3 linked regions of the Lytechinus pictus genome follow. The protein of the gene in region 1 purifies or fractionates together with the protein of each later gene. This does not show direct contact. Links are inferred from orthologs where the notes say so. Each region holds a gene or a part of one and is shown in the gene's direction. Other genes may lie near its edges.

Region 1 (7,232 bases):
GTCATTTTCATCATACTCTCTAGATTTGTAGAGGAATATATTCTAAAGACATTAAAATATAAAAAATATGGGGTCCATGTGCTTGTTTTTAAACTATCAGTGTCCAAAGTGTTGCGAGTTGGCTTGAAAATATTGAAATCCACCTAAAATGCGCCGAAAACGTGCAAAAGTCTAATAATACTGTCTAAAAAATGTCTGAAACACCAATGGTTCCTTAGTCCTGCTCACAAACATTCAAAATCCATGTCATTTTCGTCATACTTTCTATACTTATAGAGGAATATATTGTGAAGACGTTAAAATATTAAAAATATGAGGTCCATGTGCTCTTTTTCAAATTATCAGTGTCCAAAGTGTTGCGAGTTGGCTTTAAACAGTCTATAATGCGCCTAAAACGGGCAAAAGTCTAATACCGTCCACAATGTCTAAAATATGAATGGTTCCTTAGTCCTGCTCCCAAACATTCAAAATCCATGTCATTTTCATCATACTCTCTAGAGTTGTAAAAACAATATATTCTAAAGAAGTTAAGACATTACAAGTTTGGGGTCCATGTGCTCGTTTTCAAATTATCAGTGTCCAAAGTATTGCGCGTTGGCTTGAAACAGCCCAAAATGCACCGAAAACAAGCATAAGTCTGTTAATACCGTCTAAAATGCAAGTGGTTCCGTAGTCTTGCTCCCAAACATTGAAAATCCATGTCGTTTTCATCATACTTTGCACATAGATACTTTAGCACCTGAATATTCCAAATATGCAAAAATTAACATGGGTCCATGTGCTTGATTTTTTGCTATAGAGCTTAAAAGTTAACCCAAAATGGATGATGTTCTTAAGAATTGCGCATCCAAAAGAATTCGGCATTTTTAGACCTCACGAGATCACATCATTGAGATTAAAGCCCTATTAATCAGTCAAAATCCATGAAAATTTCATCAAATTTTGCAATATGATTAATAATTGTATCCGTAAGATGGATAATCTATCGATTGCTGTCAATTGTTTGCTCATTTAAGTCTAACAACAATATCAGTTCTTAGAAATTGCGGGAAAGATACTCAACCTCAAAAATGTCAAATTTTAATAACAAACTTGAGAAGTATAAGAAATGCTGCACTTTATTCAAAACCCATGTCATTTTCACCAAACTTTGCAAAGTTGTACAAGAAGGTATACCTAAGAGGTGCAAACATTTAAAAATATGGGTTTATGTGCTTGTTTTCAAACTATCAGCACTCTTATTAGAGCAAATTTGCTTCTTAAAACACGCGCCAAAAGCAGTATCTGTGAGGAAAAATTCTGAACCACTTTTTCATTTATTCATACTCGGGGTCATATTCATCATAGTTTGCAGCACTACAGAGAAACTATTTTGAAATTGTAGAGGAATTAAAAAAAATGGTCCATGGAATAATTCCAGTTTATTAGCTTCATAAAATAACACATCAGATCTGCAGTTAATGTTGATAAGGAGAAAAATCAGCTCACATTACCTACAGCTGATTAAATCACATGTTCATCCATTGTGACGTCAGCGCGCAGAGCGTAAAATATGCGCAGATCATGATGCGCACAAACATAACTGTGGAACGTCCTTAAATCAACTCATGATGTCAAATATTGACAGAGATATTTCTGTTTAAATTGGAGAATGTTAGCCTAGAGGACTCTGTGATGACATTTTTTATATTGTCATTTCATCACGGAGCCTATATGGGACCTAGCCTTGAGGACTATTATTATTTATTCGGCATCATCAAACACATAAACAACATATACAAACAATAGGAATAGGAGAGTCACATGGATGCCGGGAAAGGAAAAAGATTAACTAAATAACTATAACCCGAAGGTCTTCCTTTCCAATCCATGTGACTAGGACTCCATGATGATATTTTTTAATATTTTGACATATGTACTTCTACATCATGGAACCTTGAAACTCTTTCCATATATGCTAAGCGAGACCTCCACACCCGGATGGATTTCCCTAGGAAATCCATATTTACAGGGTGAAATCGGTTTATAAGTGTGAATTTGATTGATATTTGAACCTTCAAACGCCTAATGCGTATGAAGGGATAAAAATTATTTCACCATGAATGGCAAAAATGACAGGTTTCTTATCAGATCAATCTTGTGTTGATCCCTCGATCCGTTTTTCAACAAAGCAAATACAATAGGTCTGACCCTTGAACCGCTTCGTTATGATGTACCTTCGATTAGCGATGTTACAAAATGAAGAACAATTTATAGATAAAAATTGTTATTTAACAAATACCAAAATTTGATACGTGATTATGAATAATTATTATTATTATTATAATTATTTATAATCACGTATTAATTTGGGTCGTTTATTGCCGGGCGATTAGACGACATGAAAGTGATGCCAGCTCTCAAACAAAAAATAAGTTGGCGCCATCCCAGATAAACTGCATCAGCATGTTATTGAATGACAACAAAAATGGAAAAAGGTGATATGTCAGGGTGGCTTGCCGTAAACGCATTTTCCCTATAATACCGATGGTGGCGGGTGGTGTGCAAAGGACATCATGCCTACATAGGACATGTCTTTCCAAGAACCATTCTTTGTATCACCCAAATGGGCTTTGTGAAACATTTGACCCTTACATGCAACATGCCCCTGGCCTATAATAAGCTTTAATTTAAGTAAAGTTTGTCGTTAAAGAATAAAGTGACAGGAAAAAGAAGAATTTTAAATGAGCGCAATAGATTGGCCCAGAGTTTGCACAAGTAAAATTAAATATTGTTACCCAGAGGAATGCAAGCTTTCACAGAAAATCCCCCCTCCCCGTTTGAGAGCCATAATCAAAATTTGTAATGTAAATATGCAGTTCATACACAAGTGAGGACCTTTTTTTGCTTGTCAAATTTTTTTGTGGACAAAAAGACCTTCAATTTTGGATGATAAATAACCTTTTTTTTTGCTTGTCAAAGGTTCCTCGGGTAAAATGTGCCCCCCCCCCCCTTTGGAAATCCTGGATCCACCACTGATTGAAGTAAAAGTTAAAATATAACAAAAATGAAACCACAACTAGGTCTAGAATGCCTTTTTCAAGATAAGTCACTAGTATTTTATTGATTCTTTAAAAACGTACATAGAACTAAATAGGATCTACCAGAAATTATGAAATTGTTATCTACATGTACCTTCATTTCATTTCATTTATTTCCATTTTCAACAATTACAGTTTTGTACATTTTGACATAGAACAAAACTTAATTCAAGTATCCCTGTACAAAAATTATATTCAAGATTATTACATATCAGGTTGGAAATGGAGGAGGCTGCTAAAAAGCGGAGCTTGTAGAGTGCAGCCTCCTAATAAATATTATTGTACTTACATAGCATAAAAAAATCAAAATAACAACTTGAGCATAAACCAGTTAAATTAAAAAGATATAGGGGAAATTAAAATAGAAAAGAAAATAAGAAAAAGAGAGATTAAAGGTCTCCAGAATCCAGCCCCAGCACTCACAAACGGACCTCGTTGATCAACAGGAAAACGAAAAAGATGGAAAAGTGTACGTCACATGATAATTATGTTTGATTTATAAAAAAAAAAGAGATTGAGTGATGAAGAGTTAATTCAATGGTTATCTTGGAGAAATTTTTTGAACTTATATTTGAAAGAATTTAGGCTTGGTGATTCTTTGATGTTATTATTAATAGTTCCCCAGAGTCTAGAGCCTTCAAAAGTAAAAATTTATTTTGTAAGGATGGTCTGGGGTAGTGGTAAATGGAATTCATCTGATTGACGTGTGGGATATTTGTGAAGAGTTTTGTTTTTTGTTAAATGAAGAATGAAATATGGGTGGTAACATATTATTGTTTAACTGATACATGAATTGACCTAAGTTATATTGGTACAGTGTTTTTATTTTTAGAATGTTATTGTTGAAAAACAAGTGATCTGTGTGGGATCTCCAGGACAAGTTGAAAATAACACGCAACGCCTTCTTTTCTAATAGCAATATTTTATCTAGGTAGGTTGAGTGTGTATTTCCCCAAACAATTGCTCCATAATTTAGATATGGTAAAATTAATGTTGAATAAAGCATTTTTACCTTATCTTGATATTCAAGTGTAATCTGTATGTACCTAAACTTGCTATTCAAGCTTTATCAGATACATGTATTTTTGTTTATCTATCACAAGGTTGGATCAGCAAGATGGATTCTGAGGATGAAGATGGTGGCCATGAATTCTCATTGACTGGATTCATGTTTGGTAACATTGATAAGAGTGGACAATTAGAAGATGATGTCTTTGATGAGGTATGGATAGTGCATATATCATTCATAACATTTGACCATTACTGTGCATGTGAATCACAATGCAAGGACAGTTTAACCAATAGCAGTAAACTTGTGGATGTTGTTAATATACATGTAGCATCAATGCAATCTAGAATTATCATGTGTTATCATTTTTAAATATTTCTTTATAAACCCATCAATTTGCTTTTAAAGAGCTTTAATCTGGTTATGGTATTCAATAGGCTATGTGCATGCATGTGTACAAGGTTGCAATTTCGTAGAGAGTTTGATTGAGAATGCCTATTTCACTCCATATATGGATTTGTTTTAGTAACTGCATGAGAGGAAGTTCAATGCAATACAGCACAATAAAATACAATACAAGTAAAACAGAAATATGCTGCATATACATGTAGCACCATACCACACTCATACCAGCAGCAAAGTAGGATTACTTGACACAAAGAGTATGTGGTGTTAACCTCAAGTATATTTACTTTTGTTATATTCTATCTTGACAGAGGTGTTATGGCTCAGTGGACAAGTCTCTGAACTTTGAACCACAAGGCTCAGGGTTTGAATCCCATTGCATCACTTGCATCTTTTATCTACATTTATCAACACTCATCTTCTATGCTCTCCACCTAGGTGTAGTAAATGGCTAGGAAGGAATTGCTCAAAGTCTAAAATACATGTACATGTATCTGATCAGGCCTGGGTAATATAGTAATAATAACAATAATTGTACGTTTATATTGCACAATTTCTATATGTATATACTCAACTGCGCATTACAATAATGTTACCATTATCTTTACCGTGGCTATAGCTGTGCTGCCTACAGGCGCTCTGGCATTTGAGGAATTTCTTCCGGGTACCCATTTACCTCAACTGGGTGGAGTGCAGCACAATGTGGGTAAATTTCTTGCTAAAGGAAAACACGCCATGGCTTGGATTCGAACCCACGTCCCTCAGATTGAAAGACGGGAGTCATAACCACTACACCACGATGCCCCCACAATATTATGCAGGACTTGCAGACATTGTTCAAACTGCTGTAGCCTATAGATGTTGTATATTATTGTTATGTACAGTATTTGGGTTTTTTCTATCTTTGATCATAATTTGATTCTATTGTGTAACAGGATGCCAAGTGTCACCTTTCAGGTCTCGGAACCCTGAGTGGTCTGGAATCTATGTTTAAAGAGCTGACTGGAGAACAGAGGAAGGATGATGATAAGGAGGATGACGAGGAGGAGGATTACGATGATGATGATGAATCAGGTTCTGATCAAGACTCTAGCAGTAAGGAATAGATAGGCAGGGCTGAAAGATGAGACCATTCAATAATGTGGTCTGGGCTACCAAAGCTTGAAATTATATTCTCTTTAAACTTAATAAGCTCATGATAAGAGTTGAATTGAAATAGATATATCTAGATGCTGGAAAGCATGTGTCTTAAATAATGTATCTTTGTTAATTTTAATGATTGTGCACTGGAGTTACTGATTTATACATGTATGGCAAGTTCCCCCAAGTCTGCGCAGTCCCCCTTGTCTGCGCACACGCGTATCTGCGCGATTCTAGTAAAAGAAGATACGCAACGAGCACGAACTTTACACATGCAATACATAGACAGGTATTGATAAAAAAATCCGACTCAAAATGATGGAAAAATAATGAATTTAGGGCATTTCATGTGACGGCCTCAAAATGCAGCCTTTCTCATCAAAATCCCCGAATCGTGTGCAAAGTGAATGAGTGCGCAGACATGGGGTACCATTTATTTTTTTTCAATCTGAAAATGACTGCCCAAGGTTTTTTCAAGAAAATCCTATATTTTCTTTCATTTTTTAATGAGAAATTTGGTACACTTACTTTTAATAATATAAGGAACATTATTACCTGAAAGATTTTGTGAAATAAGAAGAAATTCATGTTAAATCTTAACTCAAATTGTTAGGTGCGCAGACTTGGGGCCCACCATCATATGTATCATATTCAATAAAATTCAAGGGGCAGTTAGAAGGCAATTGATTCTGTAATGAGATGAACTTCTTTTTGCTATTGTACATTATTACATCTTGCCTTCCAAGCTTAAAGTAACAGCCATATTTATCATAGTATTTGATTGTAGACTGACATGGTGACATTGATGACTGATTGGGCTGAACATCAGAGAGTTTATTGTTTATTTACAGTAGAATTCAGCAAGGAGTATACATTATTTTAATTCATTTCTTGTGTTGTATGTATTACAGGTGAGAAAGAGAAAGCAGTTGAAGCTGTGGATTACTCCGACATTACAGAGATGGCCGAAGAAGAACAGGTCTATATAGATACAATGGCTTCTATGTCTACACAAAATAAAGGTAATAACTTTGGATTCTAGAGTAAAATAATCTGCTATTGAAAATGATGTTGCTGCAAGGTGGTGTTTGTAATATTCCACCACATTCCATGGAAAAGTAGTTTCTGATACTTGATACGATAGCTCTATTTGCACATTTATACTAAATATTTCATATCAACATCGTAGAGATATCTCATTATGTAAGGAGACAATTACTGTATGCCCATTTTATTTTTCCTGTTACAGCTTAATGGAATAGGTAATTAATATTTGAAATGTGTTGATGACCACGTTATAATAATAATAACGCAGTTCTTGTAAAGCGCATATCACATGTCATAACGTCCCTATGCGCTTCCCTGGCTTTAGCCCCGCAGCCTTTTACAGCACGGTGGCATTTCGAGGAATAAATTCCTGTCAAGTACCCATTCATCTCACCTGGGTTGAGTGCAGCACAATGTGGATGAATTTCTTGCCGAAGGAAATTACGCCATGGCTGGGATTCGAACCCACTACCCTCTGTTTCAAAGTCAGAAGACTAATCCACTGGGCCACAACGCTCCGCAACGTTCTAACAGAGAAGGGAGAAATGTAA
Region 2 (7,354 bases), on another chromosome or scaffold:
GGCTTGCTATGTCTACATATCCTTTTTCGAGGAATCTTTTCAGCTGCCAGGGTTTGTATGGTATCTGTGAAATCTTTGCAAGCTTGGTCAGGATCTGTCATCTCTGTCAGTGATCTTCCCAGATCCTCAAGTTTATTTGACACTGCATCTTCCCATGACCTTTTAAAAAAATTTTAATTACCATACGATATGTAGGAAAGCTGCTCGCAAATGACGTCACAAACCAGATAATAACAATTCTAATCAATTTTTATTCTGATGGATTTTCCTAAAACCTTCGCCAAGATTTTTATAATTATTTTTTCTGCTATTTTTACAATGAACTTTTCAGGGTGAACTTCCCTAAGCCAGGCCTTGTCTAGACTTAGTCTTAGAAAAATTAATCTGAGACTGAGACTGAGTTTAAGATGCAGATGTAACGTTTAGCGTTTTCAGACATCCATAACATCGTACTTACACATATGTTTAACTAAAACACATGTTAAGGCCAAACATTAATCATAGCATCATTCATAATTACATTCGCAACGTTTGTTAAACAAATTGTTACCGTTACGGGCGTTAGTATACTAACTAACCTCGCAATACGTGCGAGTGCCGCGACACTCCAAAATATGGAAAAGGAAACACAATTTTAAACGTATGGGACTGGGCTTCCCAGCGGGCATAACATGATTTATACTATTTTTCTGGGCTTAATTTGAATGCAAACTACTGCAAATACATCAAAATGCATCAAAAGTTTTGCAGATACAAATAATCATCGAAATTACTTACCATAATCGAGTAACAGACATTTTATCCGGTCATTCGCCAGTCGCTTCGTTAGCACATCAATCATGAAAGTCAAGAGCGTCTGCTATACGGTAACGGTATACGACTTGTCCTGTCTACTCTTAACCCTGGATGGTTATTTATTATGGATACTATTGCCTTCATAGGGCTGATCTCCGAAAGCAGCGGAGGGAGAAAACCAGGAAGGAAGGTAAAGCACCCGTTCACACCACGGAAATACGTACACCAGTTGGTTTTAATCCGGGTTGCGTTTCTCGATGATCATGAAAGATGAGCTAGAGAAAGGTGGTGAAGCCAACTAGAATACATTTTAAAAGGTCAGAGGCACTAGCGTACCTACGGGGGGGGGGGGGGCAGGGGGGGCACTCTGCCCCCCTGACGAGTCACAACCCATGCAAAAACGTATCTTTGCCCTCCCTGACGGGCTTGAAAAACCTTTTTTGCCCCTCTGACGAGCTTTAAGTCCTTCAATGCCCCCTGACTTGAAGACCTTTTTTTTTTTTTTTTTTTTTTTTTTTTTGCTTGTTAAATTTTTGGGCGGACGGTTTTGCCCCCCCCTGTGGAAAATCCTAGGTATGCCACTGGTCAGAGGCCTTTTAATACAGAAATCATGTACAATAAAAACAATAGAGGGCCGAGTATTGAACCCTGCGAAATTCCGCATTTTGCAATATTAAGATAAAACTTATCACTACATTGTTTGCGATTACCTAAATAACTTTTGAAAAGATCCAATGTGATTCCTTTAATTCCATAAGAGTTTAGTTTTTTCTAATAAAATAAAATGGTCGATCTTACCGAAAGCTCAGCTGAGATCTATAAACAAGCAATCATAATTTCTTCATCATCTATTGCATGCACGAGTAACTTTCTGAATAAAATTTACCAATAAAGCAGATGTGGAATATCCTGGCTAAAACCATATCATTAGTAGGGTTCAATACATTGCACTTTATGATAAAATTTAACAATCGGTTATAGATAGATACATTTTTCTAATATTTTAGAAAAGATAGCTTGTATACTGCATGAGATAGGTCGATAATTAGACATAATTTCAGAAGGACCCTTTTTTTATGAACTGGAATAACTTTTGCAATCTGTAGTTGACATGGAAATGATCCCAATTCAAAACACTTATTAAATAATGCACTTAATGGCTCACTGCTGATCAAAATAGTTTTTTTTTAATGACCGACATTTCTATACTATATATACCATTATAGCTTGGACTTGTATTTAACAATAACAATATTAATTATTTCAGTGCTTGAAATAGGTCTGAAATATGCAGTTTGATTATTAATAGACAAATATGATTTAAAGTCATGGCCAGAACAAGAAGAAAAGGAACAATTTATATCATAATATATCCCTCTTAATTGTTAGGGACGTATAATTTTATTATTTTGTACACTCTTGATAAGCACATTTTGATAAGGGAATTGTGATGTTCTTGCACACAGGTGAATGCGACTATATATTATAGTCTTTCTGGTGATAGGCCTATACCAGGGGCCGCGGAACGGTTTTCAAAGTGGGGGGGGGGGGGCTGACCATGCAAAAATCACAATCATATGGTAATTTTTACGTTTTTGTACACGGTTTTGGAAAAAAGTGGGGGGCTGAAGCCCCCCCCCCCCCCCCGCTCCGCGGCCCCTGTATACGTCTATGTATTTCTTTTAAATGTTTATATGTTTTTGTTCATCTTGATTTTTCGGATGATCTGCAGAATAACCGATCTAATAATTGTTCATTAAAAAATATTTGAAATTAACAAATGAAAAAAAATCAACTCGACAAATTTCCCAAAACCCCACCTTATTTTTTAGAGTGGTCACAAAATTCGAGCGGAGTTGACCTTCCTTAGCTAGATAGAGCAACACGTTTGTGTGTTGCTGCCCTCTACGTTCGTTTGTCTACGTCTATTACAACGAACGTAGAGGGCAGCAACACACAAGCGTGTTGCTCTAAGGAAGGTCAACTCAATACGCGCATGCAGCTGAGGTACGCGCATATTTTATCATTTATGCCAACGAAATCATACGCCGATCCAATACAACAACAAATTAGTAGCGATCACGAAAACAATATGAAAGAATATGACTACAACGATATCAAAGATAACATTAAAAAATTATGTTGGAGAATATACGTACATTTGAAAACATACGTTGATATTTAAAACTTTACAAATATAAGTTTTAGAAACTAAATCATTACCAAATCGGTGATTGTTGTTATCAGCGATTTCACCAGACGGCTGTATTAAGGCGACCGCACACCTTACGATTGGTCTGCGACCCGATTTCAGAATGAAATGTAGTAGAATTTGATGCTAACATTGAGATTTGGAATATCTTACTGTGTAATGTTCTAAATCATCGTACGAATACCTATGTTCAAATCTGTGACTATGCTATCATCCTTCTTAGAATAAAAGCGAATTTAATATCTAGTCGTAATGACGTCATAGCAGTCGTACGATTGGCTACGATTTGAAACTAATTTGGCCTTTACTCAGAAATAAAGGCTTGCAATCTTTCAAAATGGTTATATTAGTATTCTTTCAATTAATTTAAACCTCAAATTAAATGATATGTTCCATTCACATTTTCAGAAAATGAGCAAAATGCGATTTGTTCCAAAATCGGATCGCGGACAGTCGTAAGGTGTGCGGTGGCCTTTAGGTGATTTGCGTCGAGACGATTTTGTGACCACTCGCAAAGCATTTCGGGATTGAATATGACCACCTTATTTTCTCTGAGCTCTTCGCTGAATCCATCATCACAGTGCAGCTGCAGCGCAGCGCGCAGCCAATGCAATGCATCCGATGCGTGGGTTGTTGTTTTTCGACGTCCATGCCATGGTCTCGGACTCGGAGTTGAAATTTAGACCCGGATTTCGGGGATACAGCGCCTTTATTTCAGATTTATAGACTTAAAAGTCAAATGACAATTAAAATTTGAAATCTAACCTTGAACAATCATCGTTGATTAACATCAGCCCTGAAGCCATTACACTTCAAATCAGGCCAGGCAAATTAGACGTCATTGTCTATGTTGCTAGAAGATCTATGACGAGTCGCCTGAAGCCCCAGCGCATCATCAACGTCACTATAGCTAGCTGCGCGACCGGCCCAGACTCGGCGCACCCAGGCCGGAAAAATGACCTCGATTATTACGGTGGTTGTCTATGCATTTATTAGTGGTGCAGCGAAATTCAGCAGAAGAAAATAACAGATTAGGGGTATCCTCGTCATAGACTTAATATTCCAAAATGAGGAAAAATGTCAAAATCATGATTATTGAAGCTAAATATTTTCTTTAAAAATAAGAATAATATTTTTAATATTTATACCCAGAATAAGCGATCTAATAATTGTTCATTAAAAATATTTGAAATTATCAAATGAAAAAAAATCAACTCGACAAATTTCCCAAAACCCCACCTTATTTTTTAGAGTGGTCACAAAATTCGAGCGGAGTTGACCTTCCTTAGCTAGATAGAGCAACACGCTTGTGTGTTGCTGCCCTCTACGTTCGTTGGTCTAATATAACGTGAAATATACTTTTCTTCTGGCAGCGCAGTGGACCCATGAGAAGAGTTGTCGTTAAAAAAATCACTGGACAATCACTGTCTCACCCGGCTTGAATTGAAGTCCTTTTGATAAGGTGAGCCAAGATTATATAGGTTTACATGACAAATTTATCGTTGCTTACCTGCATAAACTTGAACTTAAAATATTTTTTTTTAAAGTAAACTAACGCCGTGTTGTGTAGTCCGTATCCGGTCCATACACCAGCTCAACCCGTCATGCCCGTGCGTGCGATTCTTATGCATATAGGGCGTAGGGGCAATCACGTTTCTGTGTTTCGATTCGACCGTTTTTTTTTTCTACCTTTGACTTGACTTGCACGTTTGCATAAATTTTGATCACTTACTTCAGTCAATAATAAAAAATAATACTGTGAAGATGAAGTCCTACTGAGACCGACTGAGATGGGAGGCAGTGTAGCTCAGAGTCAGACTCGGTCGGTTAGACTAGTGACTCACTAGTTACTATATGGTGAGACTACCACATATCGACCACCTCTTTTGAAACCGACCACCTTGCGCGCGTTAAAATTATTGCGTATTACAAACGATACGCGCGGGAGAGTAGGCGCAGTGTCCATAGAAACGGTAAGAATCGATTTTACGAGAAAAAAAGAAGCAACAAAAAGTAAAAATTTAGTAGAATTAATCAAAATTGTATTGACCAGACCCAATTCCCGCTGAAAAACCAAGAAGTCCGATAGGAAACGGCTTTAGAACAAATATCCGTCGTCAATCGTCGAATCATGTGCCGGAGCTCGCAGTGGAAGTAGTGAGACGATCATTTAGCATGTTGACATCATAGAACTGATTTGGAAGAGTAAAAATATTTCGCCACCGCGACAAGAATCGGCCGTAAACTTAGTGTATCGCGGGTGGTCGGTTTCAAAAGACGGGTGCAAATGAGCAAATGTAAAATCGTTGTATTCGTTGTTCGTCGATATATACGCGGATTGAATCGGAGTCGCCGAGCGAAACATGGGAATCTGATCTGCTCAATTTTCTGCACAAATGGGACTAAAACTGGGTAAAATTGATGAATATTTTCGCAGATACGATGCTGAGAAGATTAGGTGGTCGATAAGGGGTAGTTCCAACCATACTTAGATTAGAAACTTAGGTCTTAGACTTGGTCTTAGAGCGCCTGTTCCGGATAAGATCGTACTCGTAGATCTCAACGTGCGTGGGTTCGAGTCCCGCAGCATGCCGGAAGACGTCTTACAAAAAAACTGATGCTAGCGTTGTGTGTTAACGTGCCTCACCGCTGTGTTCAGTGCGGGTGTGAATGCAGTTGGAAAACACTCCGTCCATCGGAAAGGACGCAAATGTTGGTCCCGTGTATAGCTACTATAGGAGAGTCACAACCTATTCACGTTAAAACCAATACACTATTCGTCAAAGAGTAGGGTGTTCACCCGGTGTATTGCACCTGCCGGTCCCCGGTACTACAATACTGCAAGAATCTTCAGGATTGAAGGAGGCAGTGTAGCTTGAAGAAGAAGAAGACTAACATGACTAAGAATAAAGATTAAGAACAAGATCGATCGATGCTGAAAGTGAACTGAAAATAATGGAGCTTAAAATTCCCGATGGCGATGTGGCAAGGCCAAGCCAGGGGCAGGGCAAAAGCCAAGCCCAAGGCACCCATGCCATGGGTGCATTACTGCCGCCATGTAGGATGGGGGTCGGGTGTCCGGACACTTTATATTTTTGAAGCCTTCTTTTTTGTCTTTGTTTGGATTACACTAAGAATATGAATTTAATCTAAATTGTAGTCATCTTCTATTTTGTTCTTTATAATATTTCCTAACAGTAACATTTTGTACTAAAAATTGCTGAAACTTCGCTTGTAAATTTTTCCAAATGACTTTCTAAAATTGATCGTCCAACTGGGTGTACAGGAAAAATGAAGGCAAGGCGCATGCAAAATTGCAACAAACTCCTGCAAATTTCAGAAGATGATTCATAAAATCAAATCCTATGAAACTTACCGAACGATGCATGTCATGGAAGTCAATTCCCCCTAATGCATGTAATATGATGAATATCCCTCAAATAGCGTCAATTTAAGCATTGATTTTTCTTCTCGTTGACAAAATACGGAGCTTGCTTCTATTTCCCAAATATTTTTCCGTCTAATTAGCTAGAGAGGGCGCGCGATTTATCCTCATATCAAAGACACTACAATTAATTAATTAATTTAAGGGAAAGACTACTTGGATTTACTTGGATGTTGAGATGTAAAGCAATCTGCTTATGTGCTACTCGTTGATTTTCTTATCTTTGGTAAGGTCTGTACTTCAGAGGATGGTTGTGCCAAAATTTTTCAAGTCTGGATTTGAACTGATTTAGACTATTTGCACAAAAACAGTTTTGACTAGGCACAAAAACTGTATTACACGTAAAGTCGATGCAAGCGTTACGTGAAGTCGGCAAAGTGTCCAATGTGTGTCTCTATTTTATCAAACAATCATAGGAAATGCGCATACAATAAATCAAGGATCTAGTTTAAAAATACTGACAAGCTGAATTAAGGTTGTGAATTGTATTAGCGCCAGTAACGACCTTCCTTTCATTTCCGTGGAAGAGACATGCGAAGCCACTTTCCAGGCCGAGGTTAGCGAGTTTGCTCTTTTTTATGTGCTTTTTATATTTAAAATATTTTTAAAATTGAAAATAGAACGCTTTTCAACAAAAAAAAGCCCTGGTGAGTAGCTGAATGAGTTTCGGCTAACATTATTTGTGTTATGAAGCGATGTTAACTGACATCTCTAAAATCCATTGCGTAAACACGTTCGTAGTGCAAGGTTAGTATAGCATACTTACCTTGCAATACGTGTGAGTGAAGCCAAGGCAATGTTGTGGCTGAGCCTGAAGTGTTTTTACGTAGTTGAATGTTTATGGCAGCTGTTGAGGCTACTGGGGCTATTGAGATGAATAGGGTGTTAAATGAAAGGTCTTG
Region 3 (7,154 bases), on another chromosome or scaffold:
GCTATGAATGTCCAGTATTTAGGTTGGAAAATCATAAATTTTCAGCTCGCGCTCGCATCTATTATTTAGTTGAATTCCTGTCCTGTTCATGATTTGAAAAAGTGTTACGAATGTCCAGTTTTTAGGTTGGAAAATCAAAAACTTTCAGGAATCTAATAAAATAATGCTAGCGCGAAGCGCGAGCATTATTTTATTAGATTCCTATCCTGTTCATGATTTTTATAAAACTGTTAAGAATGTACAGTTTTTAGGTTGGAAAATTACAAACTTAAGCTCGCGCTCGCATCTATTATTTAGTTACATTCCTATTCTGTTCATGATATGAAAAAGTTTTACGAATGTTCAGTTTTTAGGTAATTCCTAGCTATCCTGTTCATAATTTGAAAAAGTGTTACAAATGTCCAGTTTTTAGGTTGCAAAATCAAAAACTTTCAGCTCGCGCTTCGCGCTCGCATTATTTATAGAGGCCTTTCATCTTTAGTCAGGAATACCTCCTCTTCGAAATGTATGTATGTATATATATATTATAATTATATATATATATGTATGTATGTGTGTGTGATGGTGTGTGTGTGTTTGAGTTAGTAACTCTGTAGAACATAACAACGGAAAACTCAAATGTGGCCCCCTTAATTTTAGGAAGAGATTTCCGCCCATGTCCTAGCCTGGATCTTCTGAGCACCTTAGTTAATGGTGAACTCTGCCAACTCTGGTCCAGCAAACTCCTCTGTCTGTCTTATGGACGTTCCACAGTTATGTTTGTGCGCATTATGATCTGCGCATATTTTAAACTCTGCGCGCTGACGTCACAATGGATGAACAAGTGATTAATTAGCTGTGAGTATGAGCTGAATTTTCTCATCATCTGCACTCTAACTGCAGATCCGATGCGTTATTTTATGAAGCTAAGAAAATAGAATTATTCCATGGACCATTTTTTTAAATATCTCTACAATTTCAAAATACTTTACTCTGCAGTGCTGCCAAGAATCACGAATATGTCCCCGAGTTTGAATAAATGGTAGAGTGGTTTTGATTTTTTCCTCACATAGATACAAAGCATTCGACGCATTTTTGGTGTTTTAAAAAGCACATTTGCTCTAATAAAAATGCTGATAGTTTATAAACAAGCACATGAACCCCTATTTTTTAATGTTTGTACTTCTTAGGTATACCTTCCTCTACAACTTTGCAAATTTTGGTGAAAATGACATGGATTTTGAATAAAGTGCAGCATTTATTGTACGTTTGTAGTTTGTTACTGAAATTTTACATTTTTTAGATTGGGATTTTGTTATATTTTACGCAATTTTTAAGAACTGACAGTGCTGTTAAACTTAAAATTGCAAACAAATAGCACTATTAATAGATTCTCAATTCTAACGATACAATTATTAATTCTCTTGCGAAATTTGATGACTTTTTCATGTATTTTGACTGAGTAATGGAGGTTTAAACTCATTGTAGTAATCTTGGGCGGTCTAAAAATGCCAAATTCTTTTGAATGCGCGAACTTTGAAGCTCTATAGCAAAAAATCAAGCACATGGACCTATGTTAATTTTTGCATATTTCGAATATTAAGGTTCTAAAGTATCTATGTGCAAAGTTTGGTGAAAATGACATGGATTTCACTTTAACTGTGGAACGTCCTTAAATGCTGTCCGTGCATCACCTTCTCTTTCCATCCTTCCAATCTCATTTTCCTAGGATCAGCCTTCAGCTTTCGCTGTCATATCCTTTCCTTTCCTCATCGACTCTCTGACAAATAATAGTAATAGTTATTATTGTTATTATTATTATTGTTATTATTATCATTATTATTATCATCAGTGGCGTAGACAGGTTCGTACACCAGGGGGGGATGACTGGGCTGCCAACGCTGTTGAGGGCGCGAAGCGCCCGAGCGAGGGAGCGAAGCTACCGAGGGGGGGGGGGGAGGGTGTGGGAGGGGGGTGTCCCCCCTCCCACGGTAGGGAGCTTTTGCAATTTTGAACTTGAAATCGTGCAATCTGATGCATACTTAATGAGGTAAAATAACACACACAAGCGCGCACGCACACACACACATACTCACCCCCCCCACACACACACACACACACACACGGGTGCGCGCACCACACACATACTACGCCTTGAATGGACAGACATACATCGACAAGATCTACACACCGTGGCATACGAATACAGAATGGACTGACACATAGTATTGCATATTGAACCACACTACGTATTTATTTATCTCTGTGAATTTTGCTGTTACACCTCTTCAGAAAAAAACCCAATGTCAACTGTGTACACGCAGGTATAGTCTTTGTTGTCTTGATATGGGTATGTGGTTATGAATGAAAACAGCCTCTGTGGCCATTTGTGAATAGAACACATAAACAACAAACAAATAACAATATGTCTGTTCATTATAAAGCATAATGAATACGTACATACTATGCTTTTTTTTACCTCAAAGAAACAGGCATAGTATCCATAGATGGATATTGGCTGGCGGCTCATTAACATACAGATACAAAAAACATAAACAGTATCACTATGATCCATGGAGTAACAATACTGCTCTGTAAGTTTGTGAAGAAATCGGAACCATAACGGCATTGCATCGTTTCAAATTAGAGCATTATTTACTTCTATTTGATCTCAGTCTTATAATAGTAATAATAATAATAATAATAATAATAATAATAATAATAATAATAATAATAAAAAAAAATAATAATACTAATACAAATAATAATGCTAATACTAATAGGTTCCTTTTATCTCGCATTTCAAGACAGGGTAAATTCACACTGCGCTTTACATGAAACAAACTTCTTTAAACATTTCAAACTTATGTCTTCATGCATCAATCAACATACTTTAAATGAATACAAAACAAAGTGCATCTTAAATAAAACAAAAATAAATAAATAGTTAACAATACAGAAAAGATGTAGCTGCTGCAAGCTTAACAACAAACTAATGTATACCAGTCAGTCCTGATATCAGTATTAGTGTAACAATAGTCATATAGTGGGAGCATGAAGTTGAACAATTCATGATTATACATAATTATATATGTTTGTTTGAATAATACTTGTTATAAAGATAGTAGTATGGTACTCTCTGTCACGAATTATTATGTATACTGTTGTATCACATTCATTTTCTATTCTGTTTTAGATTGCGCTGATGCATTTTACACACAATGTATAATGCCTATAACACGAGTGGGCCAGACCACACATGTATTTCAATAAAAACCGACTTGAGAAAATAACGTGTATATAAATATATAAATAAATAAATAAATAAATGCATATAATGTATATATATATGTATAAATATCATATACCTGTAATATAATCTGATATAAACTAATAAATAAATAAATAAATATAATACATATCATATATGAGAAGGTATTGCTAGTACTCGGTTCGTGCCTGAAAAGTAGTCTCGATGAAAAGAAAAAAAGTTGTTGCTTCATTCCCATACCAAAAACAGCTTGATTAACAGTTGCTAATCAGATAATAGAGACATGCGGTAAGTTGGTAAACTTACTTAAGGAGCATTCATGGCTCAACAAACAAACATATCGGTCTCTTAGTCAGTTTTACTTTTGTAGTCTTGCAAATTTGTGTCTTAGAAACCAAATATCTTGCGCCTCTTTTCGTTCCTGCCCAGTAAATACTTGTAAGATTTTCTTTTTTTTACCGTCTGAATTGGCTTTCACCGTGTGAATGCGGCTAATAACAATAAACACAATTACAATAATGATGAGGATTATTATTATCATCATCATAATTATTATTATTATTAATATTATAATTGTTATCATTATTATTATTACTATTATTATCATCATTATGACTTATTAAGTAACCAAATATCATTCCCCAAAACCTGGGGGGGATGATTGTACATGCCATCCCCCCCACCTTGTGAGGTGGGGGGGATGCATCCCCCTCATCCCCCCCGTTGTCTACGCCCCTGATTATCATTATTATTTTAATCCTTATCCTTACCATTATTCTATTCATTTGAGTTTATTAAACAAATATTTTGCGGTTTGTGATCGAGGTGGATGATCACGTCACTGGTCGATCAAATCAAAATCGATTGCTTTGCTGCCATCTACGACAATAAGTTATACAGCTTTTGTCAAGATGGCTAGTTCCAACAAAACCCAGCCCCGCGATGCCGAAATTATGACAGCTATTTTGAAAGATATGGGAGTGACAGATTACGAGCCAAGAGTGATAAATCAGATGCTGGAATTTGCATATAGTGAGTATTGTAAATGAAAATGAGTAAGAAATAAACTATAAGTCAAAAATATCTTGAAGAATCGGGCACATCCAGTGCAGTGGCAGTGGGACCATGTCCATGGACTATGACGATTTGCACTCGCGGGCCCCATGCCATGGGGCGCGGTGGGGCCGGGCAGGAGCTATGATAACCCAGGGAGCTCCCGCCCGCGCAGCGGGAGGGAGCCCAGGACTGGCAGGAGCTTACCGTGTATTTGACCATAGTCACCGGACTAGGCCTAGGGTGATTTATGGTCTAAATATTTCTCCAAATGAATTGTGAAAACAGAAAGTATACCACAATTATATGGATGAAGGTCTAACGAGTGGCAGTTTCCGGACATCTGGGCACAGACTGGAACCTCAAAAAAACGAAAAGTTCTCTCCTCTACCCCAGTCCCCAGTCTCGATCGGCCATTTTGTTACGATTTTTAACAAAAATGGCCGATCGAGACGGGGGTAGAAGGAGAGAACTTTTCGTTTTTTTGAGGTTCAAGTCTGTGCCCAGATGTCAGGAAACTGCCACTCGTTAGACCTTCATCCATATAATCGTGGTAATTGTATACTTTCTGTTTTCACAATTCATTTGGAGAAATATTTAGACCATAAATCACCCTAGTCCGGTGACTATGGTAAAATACACGGTAAGCCCCTGGGCTCCTGCCCGCTGCGCGGGCGCTCCCTGGGTTAGGGCTATGACTGAGTATGACGGCGTCCGCGTCAAGGACGTGGACGTTTTATAGTAATAGTGGCAAGGTGCCCCAAGACTGTTCAGTGCCCTTTAGGCTTTAATAAAAAGAAGATACCAAAGACCACAAAATATAGAATCTACACCCCTGAAATACATACACAGATAGGCGTGTTCATTAAAAAATCCGACTCAAAATGGTGGAAAAATATTGAATTCAGATTTCAGGCATTTCAATGTCACACTGGGGTCACGGCCTCAAAATGCAGCCTTTTTTACTTTATCATCAAAATCGTGTGTAACGTTAAAGTAAATGGGTGCGCGGACAAGTCAAGGGGCACCTTCTTTTGTTCAATCTGAAAATGACTGTCCGAGGGTTTTTCCAAGAATTTAATAGAAAATCATATATATTTTTTTCAAATTTTCACGAGATTTTTGGCTTACGGTACCCATTAAGAATATAGATAAGGAACAACATCAACTGAAAACTTTTGTGGAATAAAATTCATGTTTAACTTTAATCTTAAGTTAAAGTTTTAGGTGCGCAGACATGGGGCTCCCCTTCATACTAGTGGATCGTATTATTACCGATTGCTTTTCATGAATTCAATCATATCAAACCAAATATTCTTATAAAATTCACCAAACTTTCACCATAAATGCATGAATACCTAAGTTATAAATAATCTAGAACCTATGTAAAAATTTTTCCAAAATCGTTTTCTTTTTTACGCTATCAGCATCTAAGCCAAGGCAATTGGACCCCTCTTCACAGTCCTCGGCTTTGCATGTCGCCATGTGAACTGAAATCTACTACTGAACATACTGTTTTCTATGGGTGAAGTTGAGAAAGCAACAAAATCGCTGTTGAGCTAATTATTTTTAAAATATTGTATGAGTTTGAGAATAAAGATCTAGATCTGACAAAAGACTTTGAAAATGTATTTTGGACAATTTTCATCATCTTTCTATTCAATTTCTCTTTAGAATGATGTTGCAAAGTTTTGAGGGTATGAAATTATACTCTGACGCATCCTTTAAGTTTGGGACGTTGAGCTCTTTTGTTCCCCATAATCAGACTCTGGGCAGAAGATCCTATTAGGTTATATGAGTGATGCGCGCGTTCTCTAGACTGTAGACTCACTAGACTACTGACTTTACACTATTATTCCTATTAACAATTTTTTTGTTTTCTTTGTAGCCTAATGCTAGGCTCAATTTTTGTACTGCTTTTCTTTAAAATGTTGATCCCTTAATTTGTATCTGATTTATATTTGTATTTGGAATAATATATATATTAATAGTTGTTTGTATGGAAAGCAAATAAGAATCAAAGAATGGAAAGGTGTTTCAATGTGAAAAAGTTCCTTTATGAATGATGCAAAGTAGGTCTAGGCTACACCCTTTCATGTAATTTGCTTCTGGGTCACAATACTCCAGACTTTTTTATCGGATGGGCGAAAACATTTTTCAGATATTAGATTCAGGATTCAATTATATTTAATTGGTTGATGCATTCATGCAAGCTTACAAAGAAATTGGCTTTCAAATGCACAAAATACACAAAAGATGGAGAATACAATGTATCATAACAATTGAAACCTAATTTCAATTTCAATTTATTGACCATTAAAAAAAACATCAAAATATTTACAGAAATAACATGATACCAACAAAATAATACAAAATATAATGGGTAAAAAAAAGGTTATGAATAAACACACACACCCACACATCATCACACAATGCAAAAACAACACAGAAGATAGAATAGAAGATAAGACAAGAAAAAAAATGATAAAATACAATTACATGGGGGGATTGGAGTTGTTTAAATAATTGAACAAAAAATGACTTTGATAGTGACTTAAATCGCGAATGTTGTGCTGTTTTTTGATATCATATGTGAGAGAATTCCATTCTTTCACCCCGATATATCTGATCGAATTACGAATAAAATTAATTTTAGAAAAAGGAATACGTAAGTTGATATGTTGTCTAGTAGGGTAATTATGAATTTGAGAGTTTGAAAGATTGGGGAGAAATTTTCTGGAAGGGTGGCTTTGTGAAATTTAAACATGAAAATCCATGTATTTAAAGGGATGGTCCGGGCTGAAAATATTTATAATTTAATACATAGAGTAGAATTCACTGAGCAAAATGC

What was found.
Region 2: the proteins of transcription initiation factor TFIID subunit 1-like (region 1) and transcription initiation factor TFIID subunit 6-like purify together in Drosophila melanogaster (affinity purification with western blotting; 3 studies listed by BioGRID, with this or other methods). This does not show direct contact. The link is inferred for Lytechinus pictus from reciprocal best matches to the Drosophila melanogaster genes Taf1 and Taf6.
Region 3: the proteins of transcription initiation factor TFIID subunit 1-like (region 1) and transcription initiation factor TFIID subunit 9-like purify together in Drosophila melanogaster (affinity purification with western blotting; 3 studies listed by BioGRID, with this or other methods). This does not show direct contact. The link is inferred for Lytechinus pictus from reciprocal best matches to the Drosophila melanogaster genes Taf1 and Taf9.

What each region holds. Positions count from the first base shown.
Region 1 is NW_026974140.1:16,366,857-16,374,088, reverse strand, and holds the start of transcription initiation factor TFIID subunit 1-like, read left to right. Parts: upstream 1-4,186; 5' UTR 4,187-4,197; coding exon 4,198-4,302; intron 4,303-5,429; coding exon 5,430-5,589; intron 5,590-6,545; coding exon 6,546-6,656; intron 6,657-7,232. UniProt on the Drosophila melanogaster protein: TFIID is a multimeric protein complex that plays a central role in mediating promoter responses to various activators and repressors. Largest component and core scaffold of the complex.
Region 2 is NC_087260.1:23,354,278-23,361,631, forward strand, and holds the start of transcription initiation factor TFIID subunit 6-like, read left to right. Parts: upstream 1-4,350; 5' UTR 4,351-4,469; intron 4,470-4,517; exon of another isoform or gene 4,518-4,638; intron 4,639-7,354. Other genes in the region: acyl-coenzyme A thioesterase 9, mitochondrial-like, read right to left, coding at 3,773-3,813. UniProt on the Drosophila melanogaster protein: TFIID is a multimeric protein complex that plays a central role in mediating promoter responses to various activators and repressors.
Region 3 is NC_087260.1:4,330,420-4,337,573, reverse strand, and holds the start of transcription initiation factor TFIID subunit 9-like, read left to right. Parts: upstream 1-4,150; 5' UTR 4,151-4,161; coding exon 4,162-4,282; intron 4,283-7,154. UniProt on the Drosophila melanogaster protein: TFIID is a multimeric protein complex that plays a central role in mediating promoter responses to various activators and repressors.